Linked DNA regions of Styela clava. The protein of the gene in region 1 binds, or shares a complex with, the protein of each later gene. Links are inferred from orthologs where the notes say so. Each region holds a gene or a part of one and is shown in the gene's direction. Other genes may lie near its edges. The genes, in order: RNA polymerase-associated protein CTR9 homolog and uncharacterized protein LOC120338085.

Region 1 (11,799 bases):
TGTCAACAGATATTCGAGACAGTAAAATATTTTGAAAAAATAACGTTTTCATTCGTATTATTTCCCCCGTCGGAGATTAGGTATTAATTAGTGTCACTCACTCACTATTCTTTGCTCAAAATTGGATTAAATGCGGATTCAACGACTGGGTCCAAAACTCACTTATATTGAAAAGTATTGCTTTAGTTATGTCATCAATAAAATAAACTTATTTTTATTTGACGTTTTTCTTGGATTTTGTCATTTTGTAAAAAGATTTGATCATTCAATGAGCGAGTTTTTGCATATTTCACATGTACATTCTGGATCGTATGTGACAAGACCATTTTTTCTACTATAGTCGAGAATTTTACAATAAATAATATTCCCTTCATATCATATTGGAAAGAGAAATTTAAATCGAAAAAGTTAACATCGAAAAAAGAGATATTCGTGTATAATATAGCCATAATTGTATCAACCAGTATATGAATTCCATACAAAAGCCAGTGTTCCGAGTTTTCTTTTATTGTTTTTCAATTAAAATTTACGGATGTCCTTGCAAGTACATTGGCACTTGTTGTTGTGTACCTAATCACATTTTATCATTCGAAAAGACCGAATAATCGTTTTTTCTTTGCAATCTTCTGTTCCGGATTTTAGTACATGCATTCCTGAGGAATAACACCTGTAAAAATATTTTATCTTCCCTGTATTGTCGGATATTTTATCAAGTATTATTCGTTTTTTTATTCGGAAATATTATTTTATTTTTGATCTTATATTGGCACAGCATGCAATTATTACGTTATAACTTCTCCAGATTTGGCCGTCATGTTGCAATTAGATACATTTCTGAAGCGTATGACATCATCACATGATATGAATGATGACGTCACTAACATGTTCATTTTTTCTTTTGTATTTCATCAGTTTGTTGTATTTTTAGAACGTAAAAATTTATAAGGAAGCCGATTCAGCATATGAGAATGTAGGAGACATAGGTTCAACGTTCCATCCTAATTGTAATTTTTTATCTTTCAACTTATCAGAATTACACATTTATCTAATCAGTCAATAGATTACGAAATAGATATGCTTGATTGGGATCAAATAAATTGTTGTTTTTGATAACGATTCCATTGTCTTAACGATACTACCATCCCTGTCATGTGTCCATTCCTATGTTATTATTTGATGTGTATTCGTACTATTCTTACATAATTACGAGCAATAAATAGAGCCAGAGAGAGTGTCTTCTGATTTCATTTAAATTGCTTATTAATTATAACTCGTACAAATCATCAATCGATGCGAGTGAAATCTACCATCAACAGACACTTTCATCGAGGCTAATTTGCCGGCGCTCCCGTAGTATTCGTACCAATATGGCGCACAACCTGCTAACCCTAACCTGGTACACATATTATGTACAGGTTGTGCGCCATCTTGGTACGAATACTACGTGAGCACCGATTTGCCGATACTCCCGTAGTATGTGAACATGGTTAGGGTTGGGCCATAATTTTATTTCGATTTGGTATTGACGTATATGGCTGATTTTAACTTCCTAATTATTAGCATCTGCAGTAGCCTACTTTAAAATGATCGAAGCTTGAATAGTATCAGACAGATGTTTCGTGGTGTCACATTGGATCAGATTAAAGTGGAGTGGTGTATATTAAGGAAATTTAAGATTACCTAAATAATTGCATGAGTAACAGTATAACTAGGCTTGCCATACGTACCGTTTTAGGCGGAACAGTCCCCCTTCTCAACGTTTGCCCCGTTGTCCCGGCCGGTCAGCCTAAAGTCCCGCTTTGGCGTTCAGCCAGTCTGCATAATATAAGACATTACCAATTAGCATGTTCTCGATACTGTTGTTGCGGTGTAGCGTACCGGTAGCCTACTTATAAAGGTGGATTTGTTTGTTTCGTTGTTTTCCGCTGATAATTGCTACAATTTGTTACGTGTAAACGCCAAAAGGACAAGGGTGCTTAACGTTAACGTAAATTCCTTTTTAGATAGACAGCGCATGCACTCTTGAAGACAACCGGGATGGTTTTGAATGTGGGCCCCTGATGTAAAATCGATGAATTTAAAGTTGAAAAATTCACAGCTGTGGTGGCGTCCGCTTTGAGGTCACAAAAATATGGTAACCCCAAGTATAACAATCATAAAAAGTGCTAATGTACTTAAAACAAAGCGATAAATTTCCCTCCTCAGTTCGCTCCAAATTCTGTGGGATCTCTGCAACAGGGAATTTTAATGAATATTCATAATGACACATTGAAATTTGTAAACAATATAGATGAGCTGGCATAATGTTGGAGACATGGTGCATGCACAAGACGATACTTTACTAAAACAAAAACGTGGGGCAATGCACCTCTTTCGATAAATATTCAAAATACCAAAAAGTTGAATGCAACTCACCAACTGTACTAGAGCAGGGTGTGCAGCATTTTTTGTCGGTGGGCCATATAACCAACTTCAGACATCTATCTGGGCCCTAAAAATGCGGATATCGCTTATCCTTAGCGTTATAGCAATAAAGGCATCGGGTAAATGGCGAAAGATCCAACGTGGGGGTGAAAGGAAAATAAACATAATGTATTTGATACCCATGTTAGCGTCTATGGTATAAGCCACGTAAGGGTGGTAGTATCCTTGGAACAAAATGTTTATTCTAGCTAAAATGAGGACAATCCAGAAGTATGTGTGCCAATATGGTGGTAACGAATTTTGTTTACCTACTTTACATCAAGTTGTATAAGGAGACTAACCCACACGAGTTAGGATAGGATTTACATATTCATCCCGGGGGAGGGGAAAGCCTATAATGTCTATGTGCATCAAAACCAGTCCAGCATACCACAATCTGACAAAAGAAACGATTCCAGATGGTTCGCGCGTAATTTCGACAAAAAAGAGGGACCTTTTCCCCCACGGCATAGATGTTTTCCTGACCTTTGACCTCCGAAAAAATTGAGACGTTCACTTTAGTAATTAAAATGAAAATTACCACTCGGTAGCAACAAATACCTAATATCAAAATACATTGTTAATACAATCAAAATTCACTGTCGTGACACAAATATAACTAGTAATTTTGAATATGTCTGTGGCCTACATCAAAATGTTTCCGTGGCCCAGCCACAGGCGGGCGTCATTTTTAGTACCGGTATCTATGCCATTGACATCGCAAACACTTCATTTCAAAACAAAACTAAAAATTTGTTGTGAACGAAAAAGTCATGAATGAAAGGGTTACCGATTTGACTGAAAGGGTTACCGATTTGACTGAAATCGCAGCTTTTTCGGGGCTAAATATTGCTAAGCTAAAGCTCCTAGGAAGACATATTCATGATTAAGTCATTTGACTTACAACTAATTTTTGGAAACACAACAGAAAACTGACGAATAAAACGCAAAACCAGGAGATGGAGGCAATACTTACAACCGTGCTAAAATATCTGGCCGGGAAGATGTGTTTGAGCGGCTACACAAATTGCAATTGTTACGTCATTGTTGACTTATTGCGGTCATTATTACGAGCATAAACAAGAAAATCGATGCTTGGAGAAACATCCATAGGCGTATAATAGTATTCGCTAGTTGAGGCTTTGCAATTGCTATAACCAGATAAATATTGATTTATAGATAGGATGAAATGGTATTTTTTCAATATTGTTCACTGCAATTATGTTTTATATTTTATAAAAATACATAAAAGGCATGTATCGAGTGATCTGGAATGACATTGTTATGTATTGTTTTTTGATCGATATTGTTTATTGCAATATTGTTTTATTTTATAAAAATCCAATAAAAAAAAAATATAACATCGGGTGCATTTTGGTGCGGCACCTTGCGGTATTTCAGTATTTATATTTTATTCCATATATAAAGTATATTTTTATTTACGTTACCGTACCGTAGTAAAAAATGCGAATTTATAAATATTGCGATGATCAATTTGTAGTTATAATTGACACGGAAATTGATATTTTCGAACTTATGGTTTGTGTGAATTGGGTGACAGCTGACTTCTGGTCACCACGCAGACCTCTCAGCTAAGCAGACGGTACCGTATCGCGTTTTCCTTGCCTGAAGCAGAATCGAGTACGGTATGGTACCGTACCGGTAACTCGTTTAGTATTGCTGTATTGGCGATTGCTTAAGATTGCATTGTCTGGGTGACTAATAACAGAATAATGTATCGGTAACTTATATAAGTTTGGGTTGAGTGAGCACGTGCATCAGTACCGGTACGTCTTGAATCTTATTTAGATTTTGCCCACTTTTCTGATTTTCCGTATATTTGTTTGTTTTGCCCAGTATTGCTTCATTGTTTTGTTGTAACGGAAAATCGAAATACACTCAACTACGGCACTTAGTTGTTCCAACTTCATAATCCAGTAATCAGAATAACAGACAATAAAATAATCGATAAAATAAAATAGATACAAAGGATAGGATAGGATAGGATTTACATATTTATCCCGGGGGAGAGGAAAGCCGATAAGACGGCTTATCCATATGGCGAACCACGGCCTCTCGTCCGGTTACCATTCCAAGTCGGGTATGGGATTAGTTTTTACTGTATTGTTTGTTTTTTTCGGAAGCATGGACTTGGTGGTGGAGGAAGCCGTAACCGACCAGCGGTTACGTGAACCACCCAACGACGGCGAGGAGTCCAGCAATCCTCTCGCACATAACCATCCCTGCATGGGATTCGAACCTGCGAACCCACGCAGAGTGATTAGAGGTGCGGTGGCGAGCGTATTCCTAACGCTTAGCCCGTTGAGCCACACCGCCGCGTCAAACTGATTACCGGTACAGATTCAGGAAAGCAAACAAAACAAAGTGCAGAAGTACGGTACCGGTAAAGTTAGAAATGTACGGTACAGATTTTAGATGGTAAGGTGTTGTCTAAAAAAGTGGTTATGGGTATGCCAGTATGCGTTCCCTCACCTGTTTGCTTACTTGTTACAAAATTCAGAAATTGTTAACACTGTAATATAATTTTTTAAGATAGAGTCTAGAAACACTGAAACACATTTACATTGTATAAGTTACTGTACATATCCTAGATTAATACCCTTTGCAACAAGATCTGGGCTTTTGATCAGAAACAAAAGTCCAAGATCAAAAAACTAAACCATGAAAGAAAAGGACGATGAAGGACCACAAAGCCATTCAACATGGGAAATAATGCATAAAACATTTGTTGCTGCTGATCTAAGTTTATCAAAGTCACTTGCTGTGAATGCAAAAGGAGGACGGCTTCGTCCTATAATGCAAATATTAGAACTTTCATGCCACGGAATACCATGGATAGCTTTTACTTTATACGTACTTTACAACACTCGAAATTACATGTACGAAGAGGTGTTTTTTAACCTTCTAATTGCGTTATTAATGGACCTTATCATCGTCGGAACTATAAAACTTATAGCACGAAGACGACGACCGGCCTATAACAAAGATGATATGTTTGCTACTGTATCTGTAGATAATTTCTCCTTTCCCTCTGGCCATGCCACCCGTGCTTACTTAGTTACTTGGTTTATTTTGTATCATATCAAACTAGCTATCCCTCTACGAGCCCTGTTACAAGTTTGGTGCCATGTTGTTGGAATATCAAGAGTTATACTTGGTAGACATCACATTACTGATGTTATAGCAGGGTTTATAATTGGTTATTTTGAATTTGTGTTGATTGAAAAATTTTGGATCAGTTATGAAAACTGCAATTTTATTTTGAGTTTTATAAAGTGATTAATTTATTTGTATGTTCTCTATTTGGTTAAAGTATACTTCAGCACAAGCCTAATGTTATCCAAATGAGATTATTCTGCTCGGTCATGCTTGTTATTATTCCTAGCAGTGATTCTGAAAAGAGTTTTAGTAATTATGCTAAACCTCATCCCTAACTAATGAATACCAATGTTGAGTAAAAGTGGCTGAACCCTGAATCACAGGTCATTGGAGTGTCTTCATCTAATCTAGTTCCGAAATTGATTCAATCATAGAGCTACATAAGTCTTACTGGCAGTTAATTGAATACGAGACCAAGTCAGTTCATTCAGACCAGTGGTTTCCAAAACAACGGATAAAAAATTTAATATGGCCCGCCAAACTTGAGTGAAATATTTTAACACCTTATGTGTCTCTAGATGTCGCCAATTGTGTATTCGTACATGTATATTCTTAACAATTCAATTATATTTGAAATATGCATATCGGTATTAGAATTACATATAGGTCATGCCCATGCAGGCGCTCCCTTCTTCCAGCCTGCGAATGTTCTTACATTTCTAATTTTGGCTTCTGAAGCTTAAAATGGCGGCATTTTCACGCACTCCCTAATTTAAATGAGATTATTTTGAGCTGTCATACTTCATTGGTTTTTAGTAACAGTTAATTCTGCTGCTGCTGTTATATTTTTATTTTCTTATAAATATATTTGATAACTATCAAATGTTTGTTGATTACTATAGATGAAATGTTGGTCTTCTTCATGCAGTTTTTATGCTCAATTTTTTCATATTCCAATAATATTATCTAACTGTGATATTTAGAATCTCTTGAGATTTTTAGGGGCAAAGTAAACCTGTTAATTGTTCAGAATATTCTTGTTGTGTGTGAAAATCACTTTCAAATATTCAGGGGTAAAAATCGAAGTGTGTTTTAATAGGCTATCAATTTTATCTGCTTTCTTACTTTCGCTGAGCTCTTAAGAGCCCTTGTTTGTCTCATCATATTTGGGCATTGCTTCTGGAGGATTTTACTGTCCGAATATACAGGGTATCCAAAAATTTTATTGCATGATAAACTACAAGCACAATGAAAAATATTAATAAACAAAAAAAAAGTAATCTGTTAATTGTTACTATAAAATCGAGCTAAATTTTTTCGGACACCATGTGCATTAGTTACCGTAGGTACTTAGCCATAAATACTTTTAATTTGTTTTCTAATACCAATCAATGAATTCACATAATCGAATAATTTATTAATTTTGAACTCTGCATTATCATCTTTATCAAACTTTTTATCAGGTATCATTATCAGAAATGTTATCATGGGTGAGATAAGAGACTGGTGGTCAGGTTTGACAGGAAGAAAGAAACTTGGATACGGAGTCTATGGTTTTATGATCGCCACAACTTTGGGATTGTACTTATTCAATAACAGAAAGTACGTCTATGATCCCAGTGTGAAAAAGAAAAAAACTGTCATTTCAAAGTGGGACCAGTAGTGGGAATCTTGGAGAGAGCGACTGAAATTACAATTATACTTAATACTAAGACTGTGTGAGGATTTTTCTTCACCCAAAATTGAATTGAGATTTCCGATTGTCAATTATTTAAACTTTGGTTGTTGATGTTGACAAAGCATTCTTGATTGACTTTTTGAAAAAATATTGAAATTGTGACATCATAATGTCTGTTGAAATCCCACTTCGTGACACTGATGAAGTCATTGAACTTGACTTGGCTCAATTGCCAGAGGGTGAAGAGGTTTTGGGAATTTTAAAACAAGAAAACACAACTCTGAATATATGGATAACATTGGCGCTTGAATACTACAAACAAACCAAAGTAGAAGAATTTGTAAAGATTTTAGAGTCCGCTCGAACGAATGCGAATCTCGAATATCACAATCATGAGAAAGACCAGATGACTTGCCTCGATACACTGGCTGCATATTATGTTCAACAAGCTCGTAAAGAAAAGAACAAAGATAAAAGAACTGACCTATTTATGCAAGCCACACAGCTTTATACCATGGCTGACAAGATTATTATGTACGACCAGAATCATTTGCTTGGTCGTGCTTGCTTTTGCTTGCTTGAAGGTGACAAAATGGACCAAGCTGACGCTCAGTTTAATTTTGTAATGAACCAATCACCAGATAATATTCCTTCTCTTCTCGGCAAAGCTTGTATTTCTTTTAATAAAAAAGATTACAAAGGCGCCTTGGCATATTACAAAAAAGCTTTGAGGACAAATCCAAACTGCCCTGCTGATGTGAGACTAGGAATGGGACATTGCTTTTACAAACTCAATAAACTTGACAAAGCAAGACAAGCTTTTCAACGCGCAGTAGATTTAGACCCGGTATGTGTCGGAGGTCTCGTTGGACTTGCTATACTTGATCTTAATAACAAGGACGTTGATTCGATCCGTGCCGGGATTCAGAGACTTTCTCGTGCCTATCAAATCGACGCTAGTAGCCCAATGGTGCTTAACCACCTTGCAAACCATTTTTTCTTCAAAAAAGATTACGAAAAAGTTCAACATCTTGCGTTGCATGCATTCCATAATACTGAAAATGAGGCTGTTCAAGCAGAAAGCTGTTATCAGTTGGCAAGAAGTTTTCACGTACAAGAAGATTATGACCAAGCTTTTCAGTATTATTACCAAGCAACACAGTTTGCAACTCCGAATTTTGTCATGCCTTATTATGGTTTAGGACAAATGTATATTTTCAAAGGAGAAGAACAAGATAAGGAAAGAGCTGCTGAATGTTTCGAAAAGGTGCTGAAAGCTTACCCAAACAACTACGAGACAATGAAAATATTGGGATCACTGTACGCTCAATCTGACAGCCCAGAAAAGCAGGGATTAGCTTGTAAGCATTTAAAGAAAATCACAGACCAATACCCTGATGATGTTGAGGCCTGGATCGAGCTTGCTCAGATATTAGAACAGTCTGACATACAGGGAGCTCTAGCTGCTTATGGAACTGCAACTTCTATACTCAAGGACACCGTACAAGCTGATATCCCACCTGAGATTTTGAACAATGTCGCCGCTCTTCATTTTCGTCTCGGGAATTTAAAAGAAGCGAAAAAGTACTATGAAGCTGCGATGGAGCGTGCAATGGCGGAAGCAGATCATGATGAGGTTTATTACCATTCCATAACAGTTACAATGCAGTACAATCTAGGGCGTTTGTGCGAGGAAATGTACCATTTCGAAACTGCTGTCGAACATTATAAAAATATTTTACGACACCATCCGAATTACACTGATTGCTATCTGAGGCTTGGTTGTCTTGCTCGAGACCGGGGTCAGATTTACGAAGCTTCTGAGTGGTTTAAAGAAGCTTTACAAATAAACCAGGATCATCCAGATGCTTGGTCACTGATTGGGAATTTACATCTTGCTAAACAAGAGTGGGGACCTGGACAGAAAAAGTTCGAAAGAATTTTGAAAAATGAGAAAACACAAAACGATGCTTATTCTATGCTTGCTCTCGGTAATGTCTGGCTTCAGACCCTTCATAACCCAACCAGAGACAAAGAGAAAGAAAAACGCCATCAGGACCGCGCTCTCGCCATGTTTAAACAAGTTTTAAGAAATGATCCGAAAAATATCTTTGCTGCGAACGGAATAGGATCTGTACTTGCACATAAAGGTTACATTCGGGAGGCTCGGGATATTTTTTCACAAGTTCGTGAAGCAACTGCTGAAGTTGCGGATGTCTGGCTTAATTTGGCTCATATTTATGTTGAGCAAAGGCAATATATAAGTGCCGTACAGATGTATGAAAATTGTCTCAAGAAGTTCTACAAACACCACGACCCTGAGGTACTAACTTATCTTGCAAGAGCTTATTTCAAATGCAACAAGTTGACTGATTGTAAGAAGGTACTGATGAAAGCGAGGCACGTAGCTCCAAACGACATGGTTGTGCTTTATAATGTTTCGGTCGTGATGCAACAGTTGGCAATGAACGTTTTGAGAGATGAAAAAAGTAATTTGAAGACTGTGCTACGTGCTGTGACTGAACTAGAATTGGCACAAAATTATTTTACGTTTTTGAGCAAACATGGTGATAGAATGAAGCTCGATCTCAAACAATCTGAGAAAGAAGCAAGTAAGTGTCGAGATTTGCTGTCTCAAGCTCAGTATCACGTTTCTCGTGCGAGAAGGCAAGCTGAGGAGGAGAAAGCATTGCGTGAAGAACAGGAGAGAGAGCGAGCTTCACTGAGAGAGAAACAACTTGAAGAGGAACGGTCGCGCATCAAAGCACAGGAAGAAAAAATGAGAGCGTTAATGGAAAAAAGAGCGCAAATTAAAGAAAAAAGCAAATCAGTTGCACAGACCTTGGAATTGGATTCGGAACCCAAACGTAAAAAGAAATCAAAAAGCGGAAACAAAGCGACTGATCACTTCATTAACGACGGAAGTAGTGATGATGCTGGAATCATGCACGTTGAAGGTACTGCTGAGCCACTCACCAAAAAACGTAAAAAGAAACTAAAAACAAAAGGGGAGCGGGGATCAAAACCAGCAGGGAGTGGGGACAGTGATTCAGACAATGACAGAGGAAAGAAGACTTCTAAAAAGCAAGCGAAATCAAAGCCAGCTCCTGTGGATAAATTATCGATGAAACAAAAGATGAAGGTCAAGTCAAGGGCATATATTTCAGACACATCTTCAAGCAGTGGCGGAGAGGGCCCACCGGCAAACGATGCACCAGGTGAAAATATTTGCATATTGGATTTTATATATATATAAATTGGAAATTTTTTTGTGAGAATTATTTCAAAGAAAGGTAGCATGCACTTATGCTGATAGTACAACCACTCTTGCGTTATTGTGTAGGTTTATACTAGAGACTGATTGATTTTCTTCGGGGGAGATGATTTTGTGCGAGAGCATTGTTGGACTTTTGCTATCGCTGGACTAGTCATGTTTTACAGGTCGTTTCGACATCATTCAGGTTTATGTATACTGAAAGATCAACTTGTTAACTATTTTCCTATTAACCAGAATAGAAGTCGTGTTTTGCCATATTGTTACCCCATCGTATCAGTTTTCCTCTCCATAAGTATAAAAAATGTCTATCTTCATTCTAATTATTTGCATTCCAGGTGCAAGTGGTGGCAAAAAGCTGTTACAATCATCTAGTGAAGAAGAGGGATCACCTGCAGCCTACCCTATTGCAGCGAGTGGGTCAGAAAGCGAAGCAGCGGCACATAACCAGTCTGATGACTCATCGGAAAACAGAGCTTCCGAGGACAATCAACATGAGTCTGAGCAAGAAGCAGCGTCTGGCGCTGACTCCAGTGATTAATAGGAATGTTGATATTTGAATAATTCGGAATTAGATTTATTTTGTTGCAAATTTTGATGTATGTTTTTCTTCATGAATTTGAACCAGTTTGTTATTTCTTCTCAAAAGCTAAAATTTGAAATTAATAGTTTTGATCAGTTATCTCAATTCTCAAAAACCAAAAACGAAGTCCTTCGAAACCAAGAATTTTATATGTCAAAATTGTGTTAAAATATTTGACTCAAAACTGTTATTTATCTTCGAAATTGACAAATTTTGTATCAATGTTTTTAATGAATTATTCAAATTTTTGAAATACCATTTCAAAATAGAAATTAACATTCGAATAAGTACTTCGGACATCGCTCGAGCTTGATGCGTTAGTGTTTGGTTTAGTATTTTTTAAAAAACTTTTTGCGTGGGCCATTGGTTTGTTATGGATCCAACTTCATATGCTTGTCCAGCTCTATTCCCATCCATCTTAACATAAACATATCATTGATTTTAGTTATGAACTCATCCAATTGTCATTCGGATAGTTTTTGTGAAAAATTCTGATTTTGTTCCTATACATTCAAACGGTGGTACTCCTGAAGTATGCGCACCAAGATGTCACACAACCTGACCCCCAACCTGGTACACAACCTGGGTTCAGGTTGTGCGCCATCTTGGTGCGCATACTTCAAGAGGTCCCAAACGGTTTTGGTATTCTGAAATTCTGCAACAGTAATGGCGTGAACTGAA
Region 2 (11,808 bases), on another chromosome or scaffold:
AACTACCGTACCCCGCATGGGATGCGAACCCACGCAGGTTAATCAGAGATGTGGCGACGAGCGTATTCCTAACGCTTAGCACGATGAGGCACACCGCCGCGTTTATTCTGTGGTTTTTTAGATTATGTTGATGTGGTGTTGCCAAAGTGTTCCGTACGGTACCGGTACGGTACTAGACTCCAACGAATTCCATACATATGCAACATACATTAATTTTGTGAATTTCTGTTTTGGGTTCTATCCATGGTACGGTACCGGTAAAAACTCATATTTTATTCCAAGAGCTGACACAAAATTCTTCCAAAAATCAATCAAGTTCACTGGTCCAAAAAATTTGGATCAAATTCCTGAATCTATTAGATTGGCTTCCATGTGAAATTTAAAAAAAGTTACCTAAATTTTCTTGTTAAGGATTACTAGAGTATAGTTATAATATTCAATAATGATAAAAACATGTAACTGCCCATCATATAATTGTCACATAGCCACTGTTTGCTTACTATCTTTCAATTTTCAAGTTAATTTTGAATAATTTTCTACATTTGAGTTATTTTTTCTGGTAACTATTATTTTTACATTATTATTTGTATTGAGAGTATACTTCGTTTAAATATTTGGTAGTTACTAGTCGACGGTTACTTTATATATTTTTTCTCAATAATTATTTGGCTGGAATGGGTGGTGGGCGGTGGGCGGTGGCTGACTTTGATGAATTTTGGTCGTATCGCCATCTCCCAGTCTATACCAAAATAAATGCTGTGTAATTTATTATTTTAAAATTTATTTGTATTAATGTATTCTGATTGACAAAAATAATAAACTCTCTCTCTTTCCGGCGGCTAACTTTTAAAACTATTTTCTTTGACTATGTTTGGTTAGGTCATGTCTCGCTTTTCTTTAATGTAGTTAAACCAAATTAAAACTAAAACTATAATTTTCAAACTTGTTTCAGTCCTGTAATCAGTAAATTTTACTTATAAAATGGATATTATTAGCTAATATGTTTTAACAATCTGCTTCATATATGACTGTATGATGGATCCATTGGGTGCGATATGCGGGACTCGAGATTGTGTGGTCATTGACGATTTAGTGTCTTGGCAAAAGACTTGTGAGAGTTTACATGGAGTTGATGATGCTACGTCTGTGGACACTGAAAATACAGACAATTTAAAGTTGGAATATCATTTTCGAGAGGATATAAATTCAAAAATATTTCTTTGGAATGGAGATATAACAAAGGTAGCAGTACAAGCATTGATTCTTCCAGTTTACGAAGTTTTAAGCAAATCTTCCCCACTTTCGCAAAATCTTCAGTATTCTGCTGGTCCAAGACTAATTGCAGACGTGCGTAAAATTATCGGGCTTCGAACTAGCGAAGTTCGTGTTCTGCCTGGATATAATTTACCAACGAGATATGCAATTCATACTGTGGAGCCAAGGTATAATCCAAAGTTTTATTCAGCGGCTGATACAGCATTACATATTTGTTATAGAACAGCCTTGCAGGTTTGCGCTGAAAGGGGGCTTCGTACTGTTGCAATTTCACCCTTGCATATAACAAGGAAGGGTTTTCCTCTTGTAACAGGAAGTCATATTGCTTTGCGGACAATTCGGAAATGTATCGAAATGTTGGGAACAAAATTTGATGCCGTTATCATAGTAACAGACCCAACAGTAGTAGATTCCTACTCAAAGCTATTTCCAACATATTTTCCGAGATCTGTAAATGAGGCGCATGCAGAATTAAAAAATGTACCCAACAACGTTTTTTGCAACGAGTGGGGGGAACTATTTCAAGAGGAACGAGCTATTCGGATCGCTGATATATCGGAAATACAACCTGAAGAAAATCAAAATGTCATGCATGATTCAGAAGTTGATGACAACATTAAAAATAATTCTGAAATTGTAATTGACGAACGAGTGACTCAGCATTCTTTTGCTCAAATGTCAGGCGACCATGACGGAAAACGTCGATTCATGATGCTATACAGTATGCAGAGACAGACGCTGCAATCCCAGGAAAGGATTTACCAAAGGCTGTTACGAATTTCTAGAAATGAGAATTTTTCAAAATTTTCTTTACTTGGTGCAATTAAAATTTCTGGAAGAGATGTAAACGGCAATGTTGTTATTTCAATAATTGGAAAACACCTCAATTTTTATGAGATTGATTTAGAAAAGTTTCTTTTATACCTCATTTTGACCTTTGACCCTATTGTGAACAATCCGTACACTGTTGTGTACTTTCACACGCAGACGCTAGAGTTCAATCGACCTACTTCAGAATATTTGAAGAAATTATACAATACTTTTGATTATCGCTATAAATCGAATCTTTCTAGATTATGTATGGTCCATACCAACACGATGATGAAAATTACAACTTGGATTTTTGCGTCATTTTCCGTCAGTGACCTCAAAAGTCGGATTATGAATATTCGATCAGTGCCGGAATTGTATAAAATCGTCCCACCGAATCAAATTGATGTTCCCCCGTTTGTGTTGACCTATGATATGAAAACGAATCCTCAAGCCTACAGTTCTTCTCCTACGAGAAGTCCAACAAATTCATTGGGACAAAGGAATGCAAAACCTACTAGAGTGTCAGACTTCAACCAAGTTGCCCATGGAACACTCTGACTTTATTTTCACGAAGGGCTGTTACTTTGTTACATGAGTTAGTTAGGCCAGTGGTTCTCAAACTTCCTTAATCCATGACCCCTTCCCAAAGACTATCAACACTTCATGGTTTCCCTGCTCTTTTCAGTATAAAAATAGTTTATTTTTAACAGGTTTTATCAGTTATTCGCTTCATCATGTTCAATGAAGCCAACAAAGGAAAGCAAACTAATAAATGCTTTACGTTCGAAGATTTAAACAATCACAGTTTATTTTCTATGTCTTAATGTGGCGAATGCTACCTTATAAAAGTCTTTGCTTTGGTCTTCATAGTACTTCTTCATGTAGGACTGTAAGGGTCCAATTTGAGTTTGGCCTATGTGTTATTTTGCTAAATCAAATCACTGTTTTTTTTGGGAGAAAAATCACTTATTATTCTTCAAATACTGGCCCCCCAATCTGATTTCCATGAAGTATAATTTCTCAGCCATACAATTGACAGCAACCATTTTATTATCTTTTTTAATCCTTGGTGCATTTTCATTGCAATTGACTTGAGATTTTTCCTAAATTTACAAGTTTTTTTGTTTCTATACTATTTTTCTATCAATGGGATTACGATTATGTTGCATGGACATATCTTAAGTTTAGTATATCTTATCCAAACTTGAAAGAAAACATGACGAAAAATAACAGCATTCTGTACTTGTAAATTATATTTGGTTTTTCTGGCCAGTCATGCACCATTAATTTTAGTAGGCTATTAGAGAAATTGCAATAGTTAGTAAATCAAGCCAGACTTCAGCTGCCCCACAAATGTTTTTAGTTTTAATCAACTGGAAATATTTTACTCGTTCACTTAAGTCGTTCCCAACCTTGTTTGTTAAACTAGCAATATAGGGTGTTCATAAAGTCTTCTGAATTTTTTTAAAATTGCAGAGGGTATTTATCGATACCATATATTGTTTTGCCCTCACAGATGTATTAAATGAAGTAAAAGTACTTGAACAATTACTGATTAACATACAACAATTTTGGTTAAGATATATTGAGAACTGACTTCATTACAGAATTGAAAATTGTAAAAGGAATTATGGACAACCTGTACTGCAGCACATACAAATTCTTCCCTAAGAAAGACAAAATTTCTCACAGGGTGGAAATTGAAGTATTTCTGCATATTGTTTCAGTTTGATAGTATAAAACCTCATATATTTTCAAATTGAGCAAATCTTGGATTGAAATAAGATAGAGCAACTGAATAATAGTTCAACCCAACTTTTTCATATGTTTGTTTAATGCAAAGTCACAAGTCTAACAGGAAAGTAACCAAACCTGATATTTTGTGTGAATCAATGTCCCCAAATATTTCTAAAAAATTTTATGTTGATCCATATTTTTTGTGTCAAATTATAGTCATATTAATTACCATTGTTGCATCATGAATAGTTTCATTATGAGCTGTGAACTTAAATCCTGTGACATCATACGTATCCAATTATTGTGCAATATTACATTATATCATGTTGGGTTCTGTAGTTTATACGTACTACACTCCTTTTTATCTGTGTTTGAGCAGTATTTGAATATTTATATTCATATCTAAATTTGCTTAACTGTAATGCAGTGGTTTCCAAATTGCGGCGTAATAAAGGCTCATGTAAGGATTTGATATGGCCCGCTGAAATAGTTCAACACCCCAATTGTTATGTCATCATCACAGTTTAAGCATGTGTATATTAGTAGCAATTCACTTATACCGGTATCTTAATTATACAAGCCGTTATCAACCTTTTGTGGGCGTTCCCCTTTCCCGCCCCGCAAATTTCATTCCGCTTCTAATTTTGGCCCCTCAGAATACAAATTTCTCTTTTTCTATGAAGACTACCGTATATGCTCGTTTTACTGCCCGATCTTGATTAAGGGCCCGTTTGAATAGCTGCCCGTGTGAACAGAACATAAAAATAAATAAGAGCCGGTGCTTGAATACCCACCCGATGTAAAAGCTGATTTTTCAGTGGTAGAGAACAATAGGAAATAAGAAGCGCTTTTGTCACAACGCTGTTGAATTTTGGGCGCCGGTAGATAACACTCACGCGTTAGGCGTCCGAGTACATAACAGATAGCATTGATTACATAACACCATGGTTCTCAAACTGGGTGTCGCGTCCCAAGTGCAATATTGATAGGGCGTCGCAAAGCTTTTCTTTTGCGGATTTGTACCTGCGGTCCGTAGAAAAAGTCAAAGTTTTCGTTGTTCTTGTTTAAATCATACTTGAGAACTGGAAATAACAATATATTAATTATTGTAACGATCGAAAATAACAAGCGCCCGTGCTTGAATAAGGGCCCGGTTAGTGAGTTGGTTGAAAACAATATGGGCCCGGGCTACGGAATGAGCAAATACGGTATATTCTGTTTTGCATTGATAGCCTTTTGATTAGGCCTTCTCATATTCTTATCATTTTCTGGCTCAGGCGCCAATACTATATTCTGTGGCATTTACGGCCTTTTAATTGAGCCGTCCTATAGGCTTTCTTTCCCCCAAAATAAAATGGGAAAAAAGAAGATTATAATTCAAGTTTAGGCTCCTTTACCATATTCTGTATTCCATTAATTGTCCTTCAATTGAGCCATTTTACACCTTTCCTCTCCTCAAGATATAAATTGAAAAAAGTGCTCTACCGGCTTTCCACCCCTCAGAATAATTATGAAAAGCAAATAATTCTGCCTTAAGTGCCGTTGCTGTACTCTATTCATTTTTTTTCTCGATTAAACCATATTATTTACTTTTTCCACTCTTCTGTCTAAATGACATAGAGTCTAATTGATTGTGATCCAGTGGTTCTCAAACTTTGTGAAACTTTCTCTTCTTAGAATTAGTCAAAAGTTATGCCCACCTCAAAAAATAATTTGCTAAAATGCAAGTTGTAGTAACAGTAAATAACATAAAGTAAGGCGAAAGTATGTTTTATTCAAAAAACATGTTGAAAATATGTGTACTTACTAAAGAAATGTATAGAATAAAGAAATATGAATATCAATATTAAGGCAGGCAAGATCAAACCTAACAAATATTTTTATCCGCAATTGGGCCATTCCAAGCAAAAGTTGAATTCCATCAATTTTTTTTCAAAAGTGTAGTGACACAAAGTGTTTGATTGTGTGATACAGTTATTTCATATGAAATAGACGCACTGAATTTAGGTTAATAAAGTTTAAATGTTTGCAGTGCTGTAAGACATTTCCTCACCCATTCAACGATTTATTACCAGAATTTTAGGAGAAGTTGCATCTATATATTGCATCTAACAACATGCAAAATTTCTGGAATTGTCATGTAGTGTCACTTGGAATAGCCCAATTAGCTTCACTCCTACTTACCCCTTGTGGGGTGTGCCACCATTTGAGAACCACTGGTGTGATCTGTCTACTATCTGTAAACCATTTCACTGATAACTTTGCAAGCTTTTATGTTAAAAACCTTTATTGACTGATTATAATCACTTTCTTATGAATTGAATGTAAAATTGTTTATTTTTTGTATAAAAACCATGATTTGAATTTTGATTTTGCATTTAAGACCTTTAGTGTAAAATTTATATATAATGGACGAAGAATTATTTGGGGAGGGAAGTAGCAGTGAGGAAGAGCATGAAGAGGGAGTAGAGAACACAACAGAACAACAACAAGAAAGTGCAGAAGAAGAATCAAGTGATGGCGGAGAGGAGGTTAGGAGTTGTATGTTGGAACATGGTATCCCGTCCAGTTGAATAGGGGATCACGATACCCATCAGTGATTTATTTCAGATGCATGGACTTGATGGTGGAGAAAACTGCAACTGACAAGCATTCAATGAACCACCCTACTACGGAGAGAAGTCTAGCAATCTTCTTGCACATAATTACTGCCACAAGATTAAACAAAATTACTCACGCAACGTTGTATAATAATTTTTGGTTACCCATAAAAGATTCATTGTTTTTCTATGTTTTAGGAGGCTGACCAGAATGTGGCAAGTGGAAGTGGATCTGAAGCAGAGTCAAAGGAAAGCTCGGCAGAAGAAGAAAAAAGTGGGGAGGAGAGTGCAGGCGAGCAGGAAGGTAAAATAGAGGGAAATGCTCTAATACAGTGGTTTCATATTTTCATGATTCGTGGCCCCATCGAAGACTCTCAATGCTTGGGACCCCCTTCTCTTCCATAAAAACATCTAGTTTTGCTTTTAACTGGTTCATCTGTTTAATATCAAAAAGCCAATAAATAAAAGTGAGGAAACATTTGCATTGCAGTCAGAGAATATAAAATTGCAATCACATTTCATGTGAATATTCCCTCAAATTAAAATAAAACAGCAAAATTTTTGGTAAAATTCTGAATTCTTGATATAATTTTCAGAAATTGAAGTCTCATAATATTGCCAACGGGCCATTATCTTGGAATTCTTGGAAACTCATAAGAGATATAAAACTAATCAAAATTCAGATTCAAACTTTGTAAATAAACATTGACTACTATGTGTTCTTTTGACAGACTTCAGAATATATTCTATTTTCCATGATTTCAAATTTTATTTTAGAATGCATTTGAACTCATTAATTACTTTGTTTTAAAATTTCACATGACATAACACTATCATGTTGTCGCGAAAAATGCCTTCAATATTTGACATTTCATTGCTCGTGATTGATTACCTATGACATAATAACTATAAATGTCAAAAGATAGTGGGTGTGAGTTGTGATAGCATAATGCTAATTAGCATTTGTTTATGACAAAACAGTCATGCATTAAAACTTTTAACCCCATGGTATTACGTGAATGAATGAATCTAAAATCATACGACAACGGGAAATGTATTGTTATGTGTGTGTACAAGGATGGCTAAAACTGAATTGAATTGAGCCGTGGTGACAATAAATTCTATACAGTAATGGCTTAGTAATGGATCCACATTTTATGATAAACTCTCCATTGTTTCCATTTCTTTCATCTCGTGCAATTTATGATAAACAGCTCAAGTTTAAACGAAGTTTATGTGTGTCATTCACTAATTTTTTAACCTTCTGTTACCTAATTATTTCGTGTCGTGGTCCCAACCCAAGTACAAATCTTTGCGTGTTTCATGAGATTTATTGTAAAAACATCAATTGGCGATTAATTCCCTATTTTCCCATTGGGGCATGGACATGTCATAAACTTACTATTGTGCATATCGTCGTTGTGTCGTACCTCTTTGTCTTGTGTATTAAACCAGAGTTTTATTTGTATATTTCATGTCTGTTGTCCTACTATAACGCAGCAGTCCTAAACTGCTGTTATACTTGTTAGGGGTGCTACACATCCGTGTGTTAGGCCAGTAAGGTCTTGTACACGTATCTCGTCTTTGTTTTACTGTTTAACTATTATGCAGGTACTGTTACATTTTTGAGGCAAGTAAACATACATACATACAACTATTCCAGCCTACATTTAAAAATAGTAGTATGTAATATTCCAAGTATTTTAAATGAGCCATGTTTAATTAAGAATATACAAAAGCCAATATGGTTGTTCAATGGTATACAGACGTTCCGTCCGTTTTTAAGCGTTTTAGCAGTGTTCTTGGTGTTTTTAGACGGTTTTTCACTGTTTTTAAGCGTTTTAGCAGAGTTCTTAGTGTTTTTAGACAGTTTTTCACTGTTATTAAGCGTTTTAGAAGGGTTATTGATGTTTTTAGACGGTTTTTCACTGTTTTCAAGCGTTTTAGAAGGGTTATTGGTGTTTTTAGACAGTTTTTCACTGTTTTTAAGCAGGCTTTCGCGCAAGCTGAAGTGAGGAGATACATTTATCAACAATGCAATAGTAAACCATGTTTGAAGTTAAAGTTTAACTAAACAACTTCATGTACGGACCTCAAGCAAATAAGTGATTAATTATACCCATACCCAACCTGATATCACAATAGGGTCATTTTTTTTAAACTTTGCTCGTCTTGGAATGAAAATCTTATTCGCTCATTTAAAGGTTTTTTAAAACCTATCATTTTACACAGCGAGTGATGAAGAAAATGCTGAAGAAACCGAAGACAAAGAAACTCAAGAAGCATCAGGTATTTATATTACCGGTTAAACAAACTTAAAAAATATTAGTAAAACTACACACAAATATAGAGTACACCCCCCCCCCCCAAAAAAAAAAAAACATTTAGATTTAGATAGATGACTGTAGGGAAACGCTGCTGAGCCCGATTTGTTCATAAGAAATCTTAATATTCTCAAATTTGTTTCAGGCAATGATAGTTCTGATGGGGAGGAGGAGGCGGAAGGGGCTGCAGAGGCTTCAGGGGGAGAAGAAAGTCCTACAGCAGCACAAGAAGAATCTGATGAAGGTGGGAGTGAAGCTGGAGGGGAAACCCCTGTACACTCAGATTCTGATGGTGAAGCAGGTCTGTGCTGGTTTTGTGCTTAATAATATGATATTGATTAATATTTTGTAATACTTACGAGAGGCAAAATCGGGCCCAAAAATTTCAGCTCGGCCCAGGTCCGCTGGTATTAAACCCGACCCAGCCCGAGCATGACTAATTAACTGGATTTGCAGGCTTGAAGCAAACCCAAACTTTTATTACTTATCGATCTTAAGATCGGTAAGTATGTTGATAGGTATTTGTCTGTATGTTAGATGCATGCGATATTTCACGAAAGCGAGGTTGAATCTGCTCCAAATTTTGCATGTGCATTCATCATAGCTCGGATCAGAAGCCTATTGATTTTGGATGGATTATGTCTTATAATTAGCGAGTTATTAATTAATTAGTGATGGGACACACGGTGTCACTATGGAGTAAGACCACTGTTTTGGGGGATCCCCTAACCTTCGATCGATAAGTCTTCGGTTTCTAACCGATATTCTAGTTTAGGTGTTCTTTGAATTGTCATTGCAAGAGTTTAGTACAGTATGTTTTATTACAAGTATTCCCTAGTTTAGTCTCCACACATAGTTTTAGTATATATTTTTTATAAACATATATTTATTAAAAAATGAAAAGTCAGCAATAGAGAAAGCCGGCCCGATCGTAATGATTGACAATTCAGGCCAAATTTGGGGTCAGGCTAAGGCTTCAGATCTTAGCTCCAATACTCACACAACTGAAATTTGTTTCACTCTGAACAGGACTCGCAGCAGCAGTTATAAAGCAGCGCTGATGTGTAAAAAAATAGCTCTTAGGTGTAATCAGTCTGTGGAAATTTTGCTACCAAATTTAATATGGTTTAATATTTTGTATAATGATTCTTTGTTTATGAGGCGTTTTCAAACTTATACTTTACCCAAAGAATCTTCTGAAGTAAGATAATAGTATTTGTAGGGGATCTTCTGAAAAACATGCAAAAACCTTGAAAAAACGTCCAAATTTCATGAAAAACTGTGTTAAATCACCAAAAAGATATATTTTAAGTTCGGCCATAAGTGATTGAGATGTTAATAGGGTGGACATTGATTATGAAAGTTTGAGAACTACTGTGCAAGGCGCCACGTCTATTCAGCATAGATACACCAGCTACAGTTCAATAGCTGTGAAAAAAGTCATAAACTATTGAATACCTGGTTTCAATATTTTAAAAATTTCAGAACAACTTGAAACATCTGCTGACGCTGCAAAATCTGAGGAAGAAGACAGTGATGGGGATAATAAAGAAACAAAGGAGACTGCTGAGAGTGGGAGCGAAGAGGAAGAAGATAATAAAGAAACAAAAGATTCTGATTCTGGGAGTGATATTGGTGGGAAAAGACCAAAATTAACTGGAGGAAGTGACGCAAGTTCAAGTGATGAAAATGCTGGAGACCCGGTTAGTGATAACTTTTCTTTGTGAATGTTGAACTTTGAACTATGGATCATTGTTCTGAGACTGAGTTGGTAAATACCTCATTTTCTAAAGACGATTTGCTCCTAACAATGTTACACTCACTTACACAGATATAAAGAAAGACTCATCTCTGAGTTAATTGACTGCAGACTATTAAGATCGCAAGAAGTAAAATTATATAGATTCATGTTAGTGCATTATGCCCCACTAAATACTTATTCAAGCAATTTTTCATGTCAATTTTATGAGGTAAAAATAATCCAATCAGCTCAACAATTTAAGTATTATGGTAATAATGTAGAAAAAAATAGTACAAAGCAAAATCTCTCCGCAAGAGCAACAAAATTTCTTTGTTGGGAGTAATTGCTGTTCAATTGGGAAACGTGGCTCATGGTAGACCACTATGTATTTTTATCATAATTTGTCACAACATGGAATTTCTACAATTTGTATGCTGAATTGAATTTTATTCTTGTAACTTATGGGTATTCCCATAGTATGTGTACCAGGTTAGGGTAAGGCCATAATTTTATTCCGATTTTTCTTAGTTCTATTACGAGTTCGGGGACTGTTCGTATTAGCCAAGTGAATATACCCCCTGCCCATAGGTTTCAGTCCCTTTACACAACTTGATGTAAAGTAGGCGAACAAAATTAGTTATCTCCATATCGGTACGCATACTTCTAGAGCGCTAACTTATGCCCATATGCAGGGTTGTCCAGAACGAATCGAATATTCGAATGTATTCGAATATCAAAGTATTCGAATACCTTTTCGGCTGATTTTCGAATAATTCCGAATAGTAGCCACTTTTCGCCGTAAACGTGGTGTTTCGTTTTACGGGAATATTCAAACGACTTTTTACGCTGTCTCACTTATTGTAATGACGATGAAATAGAATCGGCATTTTGATTGTTTATATCCTGTGCGACCGTACGTCGCATAGTGTTGCGACATATTTGCACGTTTGCGCGGGTGGACATTGCCGACATTCGTCTACGAGGCTTTTAATTTACAAATTCATTTCCATCACGTCAAAAATTCGTCTAATGAGTCGCTTTTCTAGGCGGGGTGGGGGCGTCTAATTGAGAAAGTATGTTTATTTTATTTCGATGTGGCCTGCTTATTATTCGCATGAGTCTTCTCAAACATGATTTGTGTAACCTTATATTTGGGTCTTAGGGTCTGCCAATCATGATATTTAATCGCAGGCCGGTTATCGTTACTTTAAAGAGAAACACGGCCACCGAGATAAAGTGATTTGTGACCCTTTCGTTTTGCCGATTCAGCAGAACACGACAGGGACAGGAAAACACAGCTGTGAAATAACCCGTGGAC

Evidence for each region.
Region 2: RNA polymerase-associated protein CTR9 homolog (region 1) and uncharacterized protein LOC120338085 share a complex: the UniProt entries of both Caenorhabditis elegans proteins name them as parts of the PAF1 complex. The link is inferred for Styela clava from reciprocal best matches to the Caenorhabditis elegans genes ctr-9 and leo-1.

The regions. Positions count from the first base shown.
Region 1 is NC_135263.1:4,072,445-4,084,243, forward strand, and holds the start of RNA polymerase-associated protein CTR9 homolog, read left to right. Parts: upstream 1-6,911; 5' UTR 6,912-7,430; coding exon 7,431-10,479; intron 10,480-10,873; coding exon 10,874-11,076; 3' UTR 11,077-11,799. Other genes in the region: polyisoprenoid diphosphate/phosphate phosphohydrolase PLPP6-like, read left to right, coding at 5,146-5,763. UniProt on the Caenorhabditis elegans protein: Component of the PAF1 complex which is a multifunctional complex involved in transcription initiation via genetic interactions with TATA-binding proteins, elongation and transcription-coupled histone modification.
Region 2 is NC_135250.1:1,318,303-1,330,110, forward strand, and holds the start of uncharacterized protein LOC120338085, read left to right. Parts: upstream 1-6,215; 5' UTR 6,216-6,233; coding exon 6,234-6,356; intron 6,357-6,623; coding exon 6,624-6,729; intron 6,730-8,657; coding exon 8,658-8,714; intron 8,715-8,894; coding exon 8,895-9,050; intron 9,051-10,234; coding exon 10,235-10,452; intron 10,453-11,808. Other genes in the region: ganglioside-induced differentiation-associated protein 2-like, read left to right, coding at 1,033-2,646. UniProt on the Caenorhabditis elegans protein: Component of the PAF1 complex which is a multifunctional complex involved in transcription initiation via genetic interactions with TATA-binding proteins, elongation and transcription-coupled histone modification.